2 linked regions of the Ovis aries genome follow. The protein of the gene in region 2 interacts with the protein of the main gene of each other region in a biochemical or structural test. Links are inferred from orthologs where the notes say so. Each region holds a gene or a part of one and is shown on either strand. Other genes may lie near its edges. The genes, in order: TLK2 and ASF1B.

What was found.
Region 1: of the proteins of ASF1B (region 2) and TLK2, one has a biochemical effect on the other in vitro, tested with the Homo sapiens proteins (3 studies listed by BioGRID). The link is inferred for Ovis aries from reciprocal best matches to the Homo sapiens genes ASF1B and TLK2.

What each region holds. Positions count from the first base shown.
Region 1 is NC_056064.1:46,753,239-46,762,294, reverse strand, and holds part of TLK2 (serine/threonine-protein kinase tousled-like 2), read right to left. Parts: intron 5,407-9,056; coding exon 5,237-5,406; intron 3,847-5,236; coding exon 3,708-3,846; intron 180-3,707; coding exon 68-179; intron 1-67. UniProt on the Homo sapiens protein: Serine/threonine-protein kinase involved in the process of chromatin assembly and probably also DNA replication, transcription, repair, and chromosome segregation. Phosphorylates the chromatin assembly factors ASF1A and ASF1B.
Region 2 is NC_056058.1:9,897,936-9,907,464, forward strand, and holds the start of ASF1B (histone chaperone ASF1B), read left to right. Parts: upstream 1-3,389; 5' UTR 3,390-3,509; coding exon 3,510-3,618; intron 3,619-9,529. UniProt on the Homo sapiens protein: Histone chaperone that facilitates histone deposition and histone exchange and removal during nucleosome assembly and disassembly. Cooperates with chromatin assembly factor 1 (CAF-1) to promote replication-dependent chromatin assembly.

The sequences.
Region 1 (9,056 bases), on a different chromosome or scaffold from region 2:
CTACACAGTGCCACTGTGTACATGCACCGCCAAGACAGAAGCCACCACACCCAGCCGTCTTCATTACCTTCCTTCCATAAAGACACTGGTAGAAGATCACACCCACTGACCAGACGTCAACTTTATTTGAGATCTTTGGTGGCTCTTTCCCAACCACAAAACACTCTGGTGGTAAATACCTGGACAAAAGGGAAATAAAAATTCTTAGAAAAACAACTGTATAAATCTAAGACATGTACAAAAAGGCAAACTAAGGACTTTGATGAAAATAAAAATATACGAATCTTAACATCTGAAAGCCAACTTAGATCCAGCTGATAAAGACACTCTAAGTTAAGGAGGTGGTCATGTCCTATTTCTTATTTACTGAGAGAGGTAAATATTCTCCCTAGTTCCTACTTTACCCACCCAAGCATTCTTTTCCAGGCCTGTGCCTAGTGTAAAATGTCATTCAGCAAGTGTTTAAAAAGAGGAGGGAAACACAGAAGTGCATTTCCTTTTATGATAGCTGTAGCAACAAAATTAAAATACAAGTGGTGTTATTTCCTTTCACGCTGACAGAAGAAGAAACAGTCTGTAAAATAAATAACTCGTAAAAATCCAAATGAATTCAGGATCCAGTATAAATCTCTGAGGAGAGTGGCTATTAAGTGTCTTCTTAAGGTAGCCTCTTCTGGAAATCTAGACTGACTACAATTATAATCAATGGTGGCATTAAAGTTCAAATTATGAAGGGACAGTTTATATTTCCTACTTTAAGGATGATCAGGGGCTTATGGAAGACTAACAAATAGTGCCTAAAAGCCAAATAAACTACTAGCTGTTGGCCCAACTCAATCCTCATCTGAATTCCTTCCCTCCCCACCCACTCCTGACCTCTAAAAAGACTAGCTGGACAGCCAACCACACCAAATTGTATGGTGTGGAAGGTAAGTGCCTCTTAGCATTTAGGAAACCAAATAATATGCCTCTCCTCACTGCCTGGAGTCTTAGCATTGGCACAGCTGGAAGGCAGAATTCTAAAGATAACAGATCGACCTCTGCAGATTTCATGCTGGCAAAATCAGTTTTGTGAAAAACTATTTTAAACCCTGCTGTGCTTCTGATGTAAAAACCTAAATGTATAGCTGAAAGGGGATCATAAGAGTTGAGAGGCAGAAAATGTTCAGATGATGGGCTTTTTTTAAGAAGTTTAGTTTTACGCTACTTCTTTTAATAGTCGTTTTAAAATTATTAAGACCATTGACTTAGATTATTATTTCACAATGAAAGTGTCTAGCCAAAACATACACTGAAAAATGAAAATATAGACAGAAAACTCACAAGGGGAGCATGGGGAGAGAAAGGGAAAGAAATAAAAATATAGATGAAAGAATCTATAAAAAGAACAGCTCATCCAAATGCCACTAAAATCTCCCTGAATCCCAGGTTTTCATGGCTTTTAATCCTTTAATATACATAATTTAAATATGAGCTTGGATAAATAACAAAACCTTGATTCTAAAATGATCTTTTAATGTACTTATAACTTTTTTGTGGTAATGGTGGGGAAGAAGTAAGTTCTTGTTTGTGGTGAGGAAAAATGGAGATTGCTGGACTTATCCAAATGCAAAGTAATAATTTGGTCAAATAATGAGAATACAGGAGACATTGTCTCTTAATAGTTTAAGTTTAGCATATCACCTTCTAGGTCTCAGTTTCCCCATCTATAAATGAAGAAACAGATTAGTTCTTCACCCATATAATAAGCATTCTAAGTCCCTATCAAGGACTTTGGGAGGGAGAATAGAAGAGGGTTCTAAGATATTGCACTAAATCGTGTTTAAAAAACAAACATAACTGCATATGCCATCATGATAAAATCCTCTCAAAGCCTAGTCTAAATGATTCTCAAAGCCTAGTCTATGGGTTACTTGTTTAAAAGCAGTATTCCATGCAGAAGAATTCTGGAACAACCAAACGCTGCAAATGCTCACTTAAAATTTGTTATGTCCTCACATTCTGTCTGTATCTTTCTGGGACATAATATGAGGATGACAGTGAGGACGGTGATTAGAAACACCAATATGGAGAATTTTTACTTTTTAAACCTTCACAGAAACTCAAACAATTGAATTTTCTCAGTAGCTTCCTTTCTACCTTACTCTTACCATGAAAAAAAAAAAAAAAGTCTTCAAATATAAAGTAGAAAAACATCATAAAATGAACCCCCAAGTAAACATCATCCAGCTTCAGTAACTGTCAACATGGCAAATCTTTGTTCATGTACACCCCTCTTAATCTCCCCCAGATTCCTTTGAAGCAAATCCCAAACATTACATACTTTTATGTAAATGCCAAACTACTGACTTTTATGGCTTAGCAAATACAGCAACAGGCAGCAATGAGATAGCTAATTTAAATGTGAAAAATCTTCACCTTTAAAAAAGAACAAGCTATCAAATGAAAAAGTTCAAATCCAAGTTCTAGCGAATTTATAAAACAGAGGTATAGACCTGCTTCCAGAATTTCCAACAGCAGATATTTTTGTATCATTTACTGACAGGAACCCACAAAAACCACCAAGTGAATAAACACTGTAAGTGTAGCTTCTATTTTAAACCTAGAATCTCAAAGTTTTAATTTAGGGACTGATTTTCACTATAGGTACCATCTCCGCAAACACTAAGGAACAAAGGAGAGTTGGGATTGTGTGTACACGGGGCTTTTAGCAGGGCATGATCGACTCTTCAGTATGGTGGGGGTGACAACAGGGCTGATGTTCCCCTCTTCTCTGTCTGCTTCCCATCAACACCCTCATTCCCAGTCACTGACTGGCTAAGGGCCAGGGTCGTCTAGTCTCAAACATCAGTGATCTGGCCAACTGACCTTGGGATTTAACTGCATGCATTTCCCCTCCTTTAATGCTACAGGAGGCTTCTCCATGTTCAGAATCAAACATTCCAATGTGTGGCTTTGTGTTACCACCTCAGAAATGAAAAGGAAGCTCTGCTAACACCTTTACAATCACAAAGTCAAATGCGTGAGCCACAGGTATCTTTCATGGTGCTTACTGTCAAAAGGAGTAGGAGACGGAGTAAGACAGGGCACACAACAGGCAGGCAGAGCCAGCTGGGCAGAGTGGCTGGGGGTGGGCGAGTGACAGCAGATGGGAAGAAATGCGGCCCACACCTCTTGGAGCATGGCTGCCAGAAATGGATACAATTCTTGGCAAATCATGCTCACTTTTTCCTGTTTAGATCTCAAGGGATGCTGTGCTTATTTTACATCCTAATCTTTAAAACTCTTGGGTTCTTCAGTCCACCATCTTCAGGCAACGTTAGAAAAAACTTCCTCAACCCATCAACTCAGGAAGAGAGAGACCTGCATTTGAAATTCTGAAAGGAAGTGAGGGCCAGTCTTTACATACACACGAGTAACCTCATTCTCTATGTACACGGTAGGGCCTGACCTACGGAGCAAACACAACTCAAAATGCCTGGTCACGCATAATCCCTCTCTCAATGGTTTTTAAGAATAAGAAGAAAAATTAAGACAAATTCATGTAAATACAAAGAGTCAAACTGCTGACAAGACAGCAAATATTTGGAGAGGAAAGTCTACTATGATATACAGCATTTCTGCCTAAGCAGACAGAATATAGTCTAATGAACAATCACCAACACTCCAGCACAGCATAGCCACACCTCCATCTTTCAGACACCTACCAGTAAGTACCAGCGCCTTGTGACGTTAGCTCCATACCATCCACTGAATTGTAGCTATCATCATCCATTATCTTGGAAAGACCAAAATCTGTGATTTTTATCTCTCCACATGCTGTACCATTTACTAAAAGAATATTACCTAAAAAGATAAAAATCTTCATGAATAAAAAAGAGACTTACTAGGAAAAGCCAAGGTAGTAATAACAGACAAGAAGAGGACAACTGGACTCCAACTCTTACACATAAGAGCAAACATTTAAATCTCTGCAATAAAACATTCTGGACTCTGGATGCTAGAGGAGAGTCGTAAGTATCTGGCTGCAAATTTCTCTTTTCCAAGAATCACCTGCTTAATGTGCCAAAACCAGCACTATGAGCAGTGGAAAAAAATAATTAACTAGCCCAAGTAAAATATCATTTGTATGGTTGGTCAAAAATAGTGGGAAACTTTCATCTGAACTTTCAGGACGGATCTCTAAGCCACCCTGTTTGGAACAGTAGTTTGGGAAGGGTGGTGTGGAATCAAAGAAAACATACACGGGAATCTAAGTTAGTACCACAGTGCCACCTACAGCTCCTGGGCCAGGAAAATGTAATGGATTCAGTAACAGAAAACCCAATCACACAGCAGCCATCTTTTAAAAAATCACTTCCTTGTAATGAATTTTTTAGTCATTTATTTAGTCATTAAAGGGGCTTCCCTTGTGACTTAGCTGGTAAAGAATCTGCCTGCAGTAAGGGAGACCTGCGTTCGATTCCTGAGTTGGGAAGATGCCCTGGAGAAGGGAAAGGCTACCCACTCCTGAAGAATTCCATGGACTGTATGGTCCATGGGGTCGCAAAGAGTCAGACATGACTGAGCAACTTTCACTTTAGTCATTAAAAAATAGTGAGATTTAATATGTAGCTATCAGAAGAGGATGGCAAAGTTAACTGTCCCCACCAGGAGGTAAAGGGGACTCTTCCCAACACCTAAGCTCAGCTGGATAGAGCTGTCTGAAGAGCACACAGGCAGACTTCTAAGCAACAGCTGAGGAAGACAACAGACAGAAGTCAAACTGCTCTCTCCCCTGCCAACAACTATCAAAGTTAGATAGTAACCATACAAAAAGATGGAAAACTCTGCTCAGAATTTAATGAAATGGGGGGCATACTTGGAGAATCATTTGCTAATGTGAGGGCACTTATCAAAGAGACTTGGGGTAGAAGGATTGCTGTGCGGTGTGAGTAATGGGGAAAAACAAAACCAAGCTTGCCAGAGCAGTTCTTTCTTAATCGGACTGACATCATGAACTGCCCTGGCTCTAAAGACAAGGGCATTGTTTCTCCAGAGCACTGAATACGACCCAACCTCCTAAACCCCGTGCTGTGCAGCTAGGACTCTTATTCCCACACCTACCCAGCAATTTAGAGTCCGATTTTATTAGGCCTTTCTGGCCCCCACCAAATCCCGTAACTTTATAAAATTGAAAGTTACTTATAAGACCAAAGAAATACCACCAATACTGTCTCCTAAAAATTAGACATACCTGGTTTGAGGTCATAGTGTATGATAGGAGGTTTTATTTCATTTAAGTACTTTAAAGCATTCACAATCTGCATGATAATGGATCGGGCTTCTTTCTCCGACATTAATTTGTGCTGTTTCAGGTAGAAGTCCAGATCATTTCCCTCACAGTATTCTAGTACTGTACAAAACCTAAAGACAAATAAACCAACACTTGATTGTGGGATAAAAGCAAGCAGATTAAGTCTAACTAAACAAGCCCCAGTGAAACCATCGGGTAATTCAGAGGTCCCCAACCTCTGGGATCTAATGCTGATGATCTGAGGTGGAGCTGCTGTGATAATAATAGAAATAAAGTGCATAATAAATGTAATGAGCTTGAATCATCCCAAAGTCACCCCCCACCCCCTGCCCCATCTGTGGAAAAATTGTCTTCCACATACACGATTGGTCCCTGGTGCCAAAAAGGTTGGGGACTGCTAAGGTAGATGGCTTCTCACTTCCTTCTTCTTTGCTCTTTAAAATACTCTTTTACTCTCTATTCAGTATTAGCAGTTTACAGGAAGTAAACCGCCAACTCTTAGTGAAGAGTGTCTGCACCCTTCACATTGGAACCTGCTCTGCTAAAGTTCACCCAGGGCACACGGCTTCTTGCATCAGACTTCAGGAATACGGGCAGGAACTGTCATGTGTTTAAGCTGGACACTTACTCTACTATCCACAGGATGCTCCCTTTCTAAACAAGTATGTTAGGATCAAATACACAGTCCTCACTGGAAACATTTTATATGACCCCGGGTGCTGACAGTAAGAAAGAATCTAGGGTTTGCCCAGGTCCCCATGGCTGACTGCATACTACTGCTCCTAGCAGACTGCATATACTATGATTTTTCTTTGTTAAATACACAAGGTATAAAAGAGCTTTTTAAAGGACAGCATCTGTAGTTCTAACAAATGTATCATTATATAGTATGAGTTCTTTCTTTCACTTATACCAGTACGTCACACAGATCTAAAGCTGTGCAGCATTCACGGTATGAAGGGTCATGTGTCTGTCTTCCAAGGCAGTCATAAACTGAAGCTAGGCTTCCTGAGAGATGAATACCTTTTAAACTATTTTAAAAGCAGAGATATTACTTTGCCAACAAAGGTCCATCTAGTCAAGGCTATGGTTTTTCCAGTGGTCATGTATGGATGTGAGTGCCGAAGAATTGATGCTTTTGAACTGTGGTGTTGGAGAAGACTCTTGAGAGTCCCTTGGACTGCAAGGAGATCCAACCAGTCCATCCTAAAGGAGATTGGTCCTGGGTGTTCATTGGAAGGACTGATGCTGAAACTCCAATACTTTGGCCACCTCATGAGAAGAGTTGACTCATTGGAAAAGATTCTGATGCTGGGAGGGATTGGGGGCAGGAGGAGAAGGGGACGACAGAGGATGAGATGGCTGGATGGCATCACCGACTCGATGGACCTGGGTTTGAGTGAACTCGGGAAGTTGGTGATGGACAGGGAGGCCTGGCGTGCTGTGATTCTCGGGGTCGCAAAGAGTCGGACAAGACTGAGTGACTGAACTGAACTGAAGCTGTAACAATGTGGTGAAATCACTCAGGGTCTTGCTGGCAAATAAAAATTACTGGAGTATTTAAAACAGAGAGGCTTTAATTCAGAGAACTAATCACACAGATGATGGAAGAGCTGAGAAGACAAAGTGGCCAGTGAGCACGCTAGAAATCATCTAGAGCAGGAAGTCATTAGCACCCTAATGCCAGAGGGTGGAGATGGTGCAATCAGAACCAGGGTCACCAGGGAACCTGGAACCATGGGGGGAGGAGTCTCCACCCACCACCACTTCTGTCTCCCCATTGAATTAATCCCATTGAACAACTGACAAAAGAGCCTGGTGAACACAGCCTACAAGGGCCAACTCATCTAAGACCAAACTGACGCAGGACTCACATTCAGGGCCTATGGGCCACTGAAGACCTTCAGGAAGCAAAGCAACAAAATGTGGACACACACAGTCCCAAGGGACCCCCAAACTGACCAACAGCTCATGCTTCTTACAAAACATAGCACGTCCCAACATGCTAGCATTCTATTTGAGAAAATAGGCCTAGAATGTATCAATTTCTCTGATCTGATATGCTGAAATCTGAGGCATAGACTCTCAGGCTTAGTGAATTTATTTTGGACCCAATGCAAGCTGAAAATAAAATCTCATTTTTAATACTCAACTCTCAGACAACTTTCTAAAACAAAGATTTGACTTATTTTGGGGAAAAATTCACCATACACACAACAGGAAGAACAAAGTAAACAGCTCAAGAGTAGTGCAAAATCAGCTCAATTTCTCATATTAGTTAAAAGTGTGTATACAATTCAAAACAGCAGATAATCCAAGTCATTGTATTTATTTTTGAAATGATTTTTGCGCTTATATTTGGGGGGTATGTGTGTCCTTCCTAGTATTCAAGGAACTTGTTGAAAGCAAAACAATAAAGCTACCCTGTGGAGACCTGCTTTTTAACTCGCTGTTTTCCTGAAACCCACTCCACACCACGCACAGCACTGTGCTGACTGCACTTGACTGGAAAGGGGAAATCCCTGAGTGGATGTTTCCAAAGGGAATTATGGTCTCCCTTTGGGGCCATTTCTAAATGTGGATGGGCTCTCACACATCAAGCTCTGAGACAGCCGCCATCTGGGAGGGGGAAGGAAACCCCTGCGGGCCAGGCCTAAGCATGCTTTCCTGATTCAATTCAGCCTCCAACAGAGAAGATGTTTACAAATGCTGAACTATTTCTAAACTCCTGGATAAACCAAGAGATCAAGAGCTTACCTATACCAAGTAATGAAATACAACAATGCCTACGATTATTAAAGATTTCAGACAAGTCATGTAGCTTCTCTGGTCCTCAACTCTCCACCTACAAAGTGAGAAGGCTGGACTGAAATCCCTATAGGCCTCTGAACCAACCTATATTTTCAGATGTAGCATTAGACTCTGCCACATTTCATTCTAATTCTATGATGAAATCATACTGCTAGAACTTCAAAAGGCCCATCAGTGTTCATCAGCCTCACTTGACTGTTGCTTGTCTGTGGTATGCCAGCACCAATTTGTACCAGTTTCTGAGAGCTGAGAGTTAAATTTCAGAAATCTTGTGAGCTAGTTTTTAAGCCACTGGTAGGATAAATGGATAAACAAAAGGTAGTATTTGCATACAGTAGAATATATTTAGTCATGAAACAGAATGAAGTACTGATAAATGACACAAGAAGAACCTTAAAAGAATACCATGCTAAGGGAAAGAGGCCAGCCACAAAAGTTCACACACTACATGATCCATCCTATGAAAGTCCCAGAATAGCTGATCTATAGACACAAAAAGCAGACAGGCGGTTGCTTACAGCAGCAGTGGAGTGGAGGAAAAGGGGGATTACAGAACAAGGTACAGGATTTCTTTCTGAGGTGGAAAAAATGTTCTAAAACTGACTACGGTCATGGCCTCAACGTACCTATGAATACTGTGTGCTTTTAAATGAGTGAACCATATGGTATATAAACCTATCTCAATAAAGCTGCCCCCCCTTTTCAAAAAAACTGGACATGTTCAGAGTCTTATTTCATAGAAACTGGCAAACAGTACCCATCAGCCCTATGCCTTCCCCTCCAAGCTGGTTGTTAAGCACTGACTAGCACACAAGTGCACCCATCCTGTGGCCAAGAAATGCATGTCTTGCTGGCCCCAATCTGAATTCAAATACAATCATTTGCCCGTAAATACATTTAGCCCCCTCAGGCAGTATTTTCCGGACCCAGATTTAAATTCCATTCCCTG
Region 2 (9,529 bases):
TCCAACACCTGCTTTCCTTCTGGAGTCTGGAAGTCTGAAACTTGATCAGCCCCCTCCCGCCCCAGCTACCCTAGGTGCCGAGCTTTCCCGGTAGACATGTCACACGTGGTGTCACAGCTCTGCTGTGGGAACTCAGGGAGTCCCATGTGACTTCACCAGGAAAGGACTTGTGGAAGCTTCTGCCTGGTTTTCTCCAGACTTTGCAGCAGCAGCATTTCCATAAAGTTGTAGAACGTGACATACAATACTATATATAGTTCGAAGACACCTATCAAAGATATACAAGCATGTACAGAAAGATAAACACTAAATCCAAGATTGTAGTTACATCTGAAAAGAGGGGAGGAATAGGTTTGAGGCAGGGATATATACGGCCTTTCAATTGCATCACTAATGTTTCACTTCTTAAGCTGGGTAAGGAGTAAAAATGTACTTTGTTATAGCATTTCTTCTTCTGAGTGAGTACACCTGAAATACTACGTAAGAAAAATGATGGCTATGCACTGCTGTTTCTTGTTTATGAAGTAGTTTTCACATTCCAGGTACCATGTAAGCCCTTTATAAGGATTTACTCTTTTTTAAAAACAATCTACTGAAAACTTTCTACATGTGAGGTCCTAACTGAGAGGTCTGTATGAGACAGGTGGGATCACTGTCCTCAACCAGCTTTCAGTCTACTGAGGGACGACAAGAGTTCCCTGGTGTTCTAGCGGTTAGCATTTGAGGCTTTCACTGCTGTGGCCCAGGTTCAATCCCCAGTCAGGGAACTGAGATTCCGCAAGCCATGCAGCGGAGCAAAAAAAAAAAAACATATCTACAGATTCTAGCAAGTGCTCCTAATAAGCAGGCTTTTGTGATAAATGAAGGTCTACTTTAACTAGGATGGTCCAAGAAGGCTTCTTTTGGAGAGACATCTGGGGTGAACCATATATGATGAGAATGAGACAGACAAGCAATTAGCTAAAGGAAGCACGTTCCAGGCAGAGGGAAGAGCAACTGCAAAGCCAGGCAGCAGGAATCAAGTTTGGTGTGTTGAAAGACAGGAAATAAAGCCAGGAGGGCTTGGGAGTGGTGACAAGAGGGAGACTGGCAGATGAGGTCAGTTGAGGCCACTGTGCAGGGCCTCCTAAGCCACAGTGAAGATCTTAAGTTTCATCCTAAGTATGATAAGCCTTTGAAGGTTTTAAGCAGAGTAATGACATGATCTAGTTTACAACTGAAGATTATTCAGCCAGCTGTAGGGAGAAGGCATTATAGACAGAGACATAATACTTGTGACTGATGAACTTTTCAGGGGCTATGAAAAGGTTGGGGCTGAGAATGAAAGAAAAAAAGTTCCACAATGCAGAAAGAAAACTACAAAGTTGTAATGAGTAAAATGTTTAATATCTAGAAAACAAAATATAACAACTTCATCAAAGTTCATATGCATAAGCAATTGAATTACATTTGGAAATAATTTGAAAATTTGACCTTCTCAAGTCACAAAAATTCCTAAGGATGCCCAATGACTGCCAAGAACCCAGAGCCAATCATAATGGGAATTTTCTTGCAGCCAAATCGTTTCAATGAGGGGAAGAATCCTTTCAATCCTACTTGAGATGGAGATACAAAAAAAAAAAAAAAAAAAGAGAGAGAATATTCTGAGCATCACGAGGCCACAGAGGTGGATGGATAAGAAATCCTAGTGGCTTGAAATGTACCGTTCAGGCTTATGTTCCACGAATTTGAATGTTGTCCAGGGGGCTCTTGGATTCTCCGAAGAAATTTGAGCAGAGACTTGAATAACAAGGAGGCACCAGAAAAGAGGTGGGGGGTGTCATGTCAGATTTTATGAAACAAAAAGGTCAGTTTGGCTGAAGTTGGTTTTGGCTATCCAATATCGGAAGCCACAGGGGATGACAAGCACCTCAGTGTGGCTAGTGCCACTGTGAAACAGAACATTCCACGTCGCTTAACTTTCATTAATTAATATTTCAATTTATCACCGACATGAGATTGAGTTCATGGGAAATTTTAACGTATGTTGGGAAACACTTGGGCATGTGAATCTCCATTTCAACTGTAAATTTTATGAAACCTCAACTATTTCCGGTGAAAACCTAGCGTCCGGATCACAGCTGTGGTGTAACGTGTAAAATACACAGGTTTTCAAACCGTTAGTACTAGGTAACAAAATAAAGATACCTCAGGTTCGTGTTTGTTTTTTTTTAATACCGATCACATGTTGAAATGATATTCTGGCTATACTACATTAAGTTTAATATATTTATATATATATATGTAACGTGGCTACTATAGAAAAGTTTAAGATTAGGTTTGTTGACGCCCGTGGAAGCGGACTAAAGGAATGCGGCGGCCCCTCGAGTCTTCCAGACAGGGGGCGACGGTGGTCCCGCCTACGCCTGGGAGTGGAAAGAAGTTTCTAGATGTATTATGTAGTCATAAGTCAGGCCAGTAAAATTTCATCACCCCGTTCAATGAGCAGGGAAATGAGGCCTCGGGTGGTGCGTGGCAGAGGCCGGATTCGAAATCCCATTCAGCGCCGTCCACCTGAAACCTCCCCAGGGGCTCTCAAGTAAGAACCTGATTCGAACCAGGCCCGACTACCGGGTCCCGGGCCCCAGAGCGCCGCGTTAGCGCGGCACCGTCTGCGCTCAAGGGTGAGTTAAACGTTCACAACGTTCACAACGGACGCCCAGCCTGCCGGGTCTGCGGGGCCAGGAGCCCCTTAGAGAAACTTCCGGCAACGCTCACCTGCTGACAGATGCCGATGCCGCAAACGCTGCTCCTTTCTCTTCACACTCTGCTCAACCGCGTCAGCGGCCGACTTCCGCTCCACTTCCACGAATCCCCGGCCGCGTCTTCTCTTCTCCCGCCCCCGCAGCCAACTCAGCCAATCACCTCTCAGGAAACCTGCTTTATCTCCGCCCCATTTCTGCCTGCCAATCACTGCAAGTCCAGCACGTCCCTTCCTTCCCGCTTAAGCGAGCGCTGTGCGCCACCACTCGGCGGTTGACTGCGCTGCCCCCAGCTGGAAGAGTCTCCCGGAAAGGCGGGGCTAATCGCGGACCACGCTGGTGCGGGGACCCTAGGGATTGGCCAAGAAGAGCCAGGCGCTCTGACCCCGCCCACCCCTCCCTGGACGTCCGAGTCGGAGACTCTGGGGATTGGTTCCCCGCGGACACCAAAGAAGCCTAGAGACGGTCCCGCCTCCCTCGCTCATCCCTGAGATGGAGCTCCACGGATTGGTCTCGGGAGTCTCGGCGCGCGCCGACCGGCGCTCCAGGATTGGCTGAGGAAGCACTCGCGCAGTCGTGGAGCGTTGACGGTGATTGGCCGTAGGGTGAGAGCCGGCTATTTGAAGGAGGCGCGCGGACTAGATACGCACTTCAGATCGCGGTCAGAGGAGGCGGGAGCGGGTTTGGGCAGAGCTTCGCCGCTGACCCGACAGGACCCAGGCGCGGGCTCGGCCCCAGCTCTGGCCTCAGCCGTGACCCGACGAGGCGATGGCTAAAGTGTCAGTATTGAACGTGGCGGTGCTGGAGAATCCGAGCCCTTTCCACAGCCCTTTCCGGTTCGAGATCAGCTTTGAGTGCAATGAGGCCCTGGCAGACGGTGAGATTGGGCCCTTGTGGAGACCCCACTCCCCTGAGCTAACCCCGACCTCCCTTTGCAGACAACCCCGAGGCCAACCCTGCCAAACACACTTCCTCTCCCCCTCCCCCTCCCCCAACCGCGATCTCCCTTGAACCAAAGCCCGCCCACCAGCCCCAACCCCGCCCCTTGGAGACTACCCACCGCACCCCACCCCCATGGTTACTCCTCTTTTCCCCTCATGGAGACCACTTCATCCTCCTCTTTCTCCTGGGCGTTCCTCCTGAGCATCTGTTTTCTGTGTAGAGACCTCAGCCTCAGTTCTTTAACCTGCAGAGACCCTCAGCCTTCCCATCTTCCTTGTAGCAAGAAACCCCCCATCTTCTGTTTCTGTATGGACAGACTACCATTCCAGCCACCCAATCCTCCCCCACCAATCCCCTCTCCCCTGTGGTGAGACACTTCCACCTCACTCTTTTCCTGTGGAGATGTAAGCTCTAGCCCCCTCCCGTGTCCCATATGAAAACCGCAGCCTCCTCCCTCATTTTCCCTGTGAAGATCCTCGCCCTCTGGCAAGACCTCACACATCCTTATCTCCCCATTTGTCTCCCCATAATATCCCCTACCTGCTGATACTTAACCCCACCCTACCCCCCTTCAGCTTGTTTCCTACCTCAAAACACATACCCTAGAAACTGGCTTCCCTCCTTAGTCTGGCCCCAACCCTCTACTTCCTCAAGAGAGGCATGACCTGGCTTCCTGCTCCAGTGTTTGAGGATGATCTGGTCTCCCCAGCTCCTCTTCCTTCCTCTTCCCTGACTGTGGGCTTCAATGAACACACTCAGATCTGAGGAGTGGCATGGCCAGGCACACGTTAGCTGGTTCCTGCTGTTGGCCTGCTGGATTCCTGCTGACCCACTGCAGCAAAGCTTGCAACACTTTTGATGGCCTGACCTCGACTTGCGCGGTGTGGGGTGGGTGTGCCAGGCCGAGCCATGGTGATGTTTGGCTTCAATCTGGGAGGTCACAGCCTTTTGTGCACCTTTTCCAAGGTGCTTTCACAGATGTGCTTATTCATCCCTGTGACAAAAGGCGGACATGGCTCTCATCTCACAGATGAGAAGGCGGGAGACAGAGTAAAAGACCTTTCAAGTAAAGGCCTATAAAAACCAGAAAGGCTAAGGTTGTTCAGCGAGTCTTGGCACCACTTTCAGGAGGAAGTACTTCCATTAGATGTCTTCTCTACTTGGTGGTTAGAAGAGAAGAGGCAGCCTCTAAGGAGGTAGAGATCTGGAAGGCAAGGGTGTGCTAAACTAGTCGTTCTCAGTGGTTGGTGGGTGGTTTGCCTACAAATGGGCTTCTCCAACTAACATGGGGTTGAAGAGTTTTGATGTGTGCTTGGGTGGGGCCATTGGATCACTCCCTGCTTTCTCTCGTTTTTAAATCAAGGAGTCATTCTACTTATGACTAACTATAGAATATGCCCAGTTAAATCCTTTCTGGAACAAGGCGGGGTGTAAATAAATAAATAAAGTGTAGAATGACCCTGTGGAATAAGATTTAATTTTAAAGCCAGGAGATGTAAGGAGCTAATAGTTCAAGGGATTCATAGTTCCCAGATGGCAGGAGATCGGGTTTCAATCAGCCTGTTTGAGCTCCTGGCATTTAAAAATGGTTGCATGGTCATTATCTAGTACTTTCATTCCTGCAAAGCTACTGCCCTGTTACTTTATTAATCTGTTTATAGAATCAGGAGAGTCTAAAGTCAACCTGCTGGTCATTGTTTTTTATTTGTGTTATATTTTGTTTAAGATTTATTTATTTTTGGCTGAGCTAGATCTTCGGTGCTTTGCTCAGGCTTTCTCTAGTTGGGGTGAGCAGTGACTACTCTTCGTTGTGGTGCATTGGACTTCTTGCTGCGGTGGCTTCTCTTGTTGAGGGGCACAGGCTCTAGGTGAGCAGGCTTCAGTAATTGGAGCGCTCGGGAGTAGTTGCTCCACAGCATGTAAGGTCTTCCCGGACCAGGGATCAAACCCATGTCCCCTGCTTTGGCAGGTGGATTCTTAACCACTGGACCACCAGGGAAATCCCTAAAGACAGTTCTTTCTTTCCCCAAGGTCATTATTTTTCTAATGGAAACAAAATGATTTTTCCAAGGTCACACAGCTGGTGTGTAGAATTATTCACAACTAGGTCTTGTTTCTGAGTTCTGAGTCCAGGGTTCTTTATCTTTGCTATAAACTGGAAAAGAATGCACCCACTATTTTAGAAGTGAGACATAAACAGGACAGAAGAGGGCAACAGGGTCTTATTATTAATTATACCTGAACAATAAAGCTTTTGCTCAGAAGAATTCCAGTTGGAAAGCCAACTCTGGCCTGGAAGTCTACACTCTCTGGTTGTACCTGTAGGGCTGTGCTTCACTCTGACCTGTCAACATGCTTTCTGCCTCTTCCCACAGAGCAGAAAGGATTTGTCTCCTGCCTCCCAAACAAATGGAGTAGGCCTGGCTTTAGAAGTCTCTTAGATTCTGGAGAAATTCTCAGTCAGCCTTATTACCTGGTAACTGAAGATCTGAACACCCAGCCCCAACTCTGAGCCATTTCTCAAGGGCTCTGAAATGTTTTAACTCTCTCTCCCTCTCCCCGCTCAGCAGCATGTGGAAATAGATGCGTCCAAGGCCTGGGTCTGTATTCAATACATTGGGTGTGTTTTCCCCCAGTTTAGTTGAGAGATTCATGAGATACTGCCTGAACAAGTCTTAGAGCCAGATTTTCTGACCTACACCGAACACGCTGTGGTCAGGCCAAGGTTCAACTGTATTATGAACAAAGGGAAAGTGATAAACAGAAAAAGGCATACTAGATAAGTTGTTGGGGTTGGGGTTGTTTTGTTGTTTTTTTGATTGTTTGGGACTTGTGTGTGTGTGGCTACGATGGGTCTTCATTGCTGCACTTGGGCTTTCTCTAGTTGGGAGCAGGAGCTACTCTTCGTCATGGTGCTTGGGTGTCTCATTGCAGGAGGCTTCTCTTGTTGTGGAGCCTGGGCCCTAGGATGAGCAGACTTCAGTAGCTGTGGCACACGGGCTCAGTGGTTGCGGCGCATGGAGTTGGTTACCCTGAGACCTGTTGGGATCATCCTGGACCAGGGATGGAGCCTGTGTCTCCTGCATTACAGGTGGAGTCTTATCTACCGTGCCACCAGGGTAGTCCTGTTTGTGTTTTGGGGGGGACAGGAAACAGATTCTCCTGCTAGTTCAACTACCGTAATTTTTTTTATGTTTTTCATCATACCGTTGGTCTGGATTTTGTTTTCATACATAGTGGAGGAGCATTTTGTGCAGTGGTTAGATGATAAAGTTAAGGCATAAAGTCAAAACAATGGAATCCATTTACCCTTGGAATTACTTAGAAGGCTAGGCATACGTTACACATGTGCGACCTTAATTCATATTCAGCAGGAATGAATTTGTGCTGTTTGTGATTGACGTCCTCACAGCTCATTCAAAAAAGTGAAGTCATTTCAGGATGCCTCTGCTTAAGAGTCCTTGTTTTAGTCATCTTCCATCTTCCATAGATGATTTTATAAACTCTTTAACTTATTTTTTTTTAATATTTATTTATTTATTTGACTGCCCCGAGTCTTAGTCACAGTATGCGGAATCTCTTTAGTTGTGACATGCGAACTCTTATTAGCAGCATGTGGGGTCTAGTTCCCCAACCAGGGATTGAACCTGGGCCCGCTGCATTGGGAGCTCGGAATCTTAGCCACTGGACCACCAGGGAAGTCCCTCAGCTCCTTAATTCCTGAGTGAGTATTGTCGGCCTTGGTTAATTCTCTGGTTTCTTTCTGACCTGAGTACTGGGAACCACTTCAACCCATTCGCCTGACCACCTGCGTTTCTCTCTTCCAGTCTGCACCCACACAGGCTTGTTTAGGTTTTGCCAACAGGTGTTTTTGGGTTTGGGCCATTCCGTGCCAAATTTGGGATCTCAGTTCCCTGACAACCAGGCCACAGCAGTGGAAGACGGAAATCCTAACCACTAGGCAACCAGGGAACTCCGTTGTCAACAGCGTTGAAAACTGAGTGCCAGTCGCATACACTAGGCCCTATTCTATTAAAATTTCCCTTTTGTATCCACCCTCAGCACGTTAGTCATGCTTCCCAGGTGGCTCAGTGGTAAAGGAATCTGCCTGCCAATGCAGGAGACTCGGGTTTGATCCTGGGTTGGGAAGATCTCCTGGAGGAGGAAATGGCAACCCACTCCAGTATTCTTGCCTGGAGAATTCCACAGACAGAGGAGCCTGGAGGGCTACAGTCCATGGGGTCACAAGAGTCGGACACAGCTTAGCCACTGAGCACATAATGCAACACGTTAGTTAAGTGCGCACATATGTGACTCCACTGATGATGGGGAAGGCGGCCAGAAGGAAAGACACCAGATGATAGAACTGTGTCAGAAAGGTGAGAACAGGGCTAGCTTGTTTTCTGTTCATCCAAAAACGTGTTATTTTGGGTTGTGTCACTACTTGTAGCAAAAATAAATCAGTAAGCTTAACTCCTTCCTGCAAGTAAGAGAATGGGCTTTGACTGAAGCCCAGTTCAGTCCAATGGCCACCCACATCCTGTAGACCTGATAAGGTCCCTGAGTAGAAGGCCGGGTGTCAGCTGTGAAAGGGCAGGAAACCAGCGTATCGAGGAAGGGCGTGGAGCTCAGGTGACAGGCCCCCATAGTTGTGGCCCGGCATTGCTGTGCTTCCGAAGTTGGGTGCCCTGCGACTTCCCCGGTGGTCCAGTGGCTGAGATGCCAAGCTTCCAATGCGGGGGGGCTCAGGGTTCAATCCTCGGTTGGGGAACTAAGATCCCACGTGCTGTATGGCAAAGCCAAAAATAAAAGTTAAAAAAGGGACTGCCACGGTTCAAATTAGATTTAGGACATGATAAGATTAATAAGGAACAGGGGTCTAAGGATTATGAGAGGCCATTCCCCGCCTCCACAAACACCTCTGGGAAAATTGAAATGACAGTCGGGGGGAGATTTCTCAGGCCCTTGTAGACAAGTGCTCAGTTGCTCATGTCTGACTCTTTGACCCATGGAATTTTCAGGCAAGAATCCTGGAGTGGGGTGTCATTTCCTTCTCCAGGGGATATTCCTGACCCAGGTCTCTTTCGTCTCCTGCACTGGCAGACAGATTCTTTACCAGTAGCACCACTTATAGACATGGGGGTGACCTTATCCACTCTCAGCCCTACCCTCATTCACTGCCCTCTCCCTCAGAGTAAACAGTAAATTCAAACGACAGGTGTTTCTAATTCACCTGTGCGTTTTAGAAGCAGAAACAATAACATTTCAGTCAGGAACTGTCTCAGGAAGACATGTGTTCCTTTGGCAAAATGCACTCCAATTCATTTCCTAGAATGAGCTCTCTTAGACGCATGTGATGTCCATACTGCCTGAAGGGCCAAGTGATTTTAGAAGGACTTCCCTGGTGGTCCAGTGGCTAAGACTCCGAGCTCCCAATGCAGGGGGCCCAGGTTCAATCCCTGGTCAGGGAACTAGATTGCACATGCCACAACAAAGAGTTCACAGGCCTCAACTAAGACCCGGTGCAGCCAAATAAATATTTTCTTAAAAAGGCACCAAAGTTGGGTGCTCTTGTGGGACACTAGACCAAGGAACAGGGCAACGTATAAGACAGTGTGCTTCCTGCGAAAATCACAGCTTGTGAAACTTCTCCCCGGGCTGCTGGAGCCGGTAGGTTGTGTAATTTCAAAGAACCTAAAATAAGTTTCAGGTCTCCGGCCAGATTTCCCTGTACTAGCGTGACCTTGCCCCTGATACACTTGGCCCCCCTGCCAGAGCCTTCAGTGACTGGGAATTTCCTTTGTTTGACGGGCGGGGTCTCACGGAGTGCTTTTCCTTTTATCTGG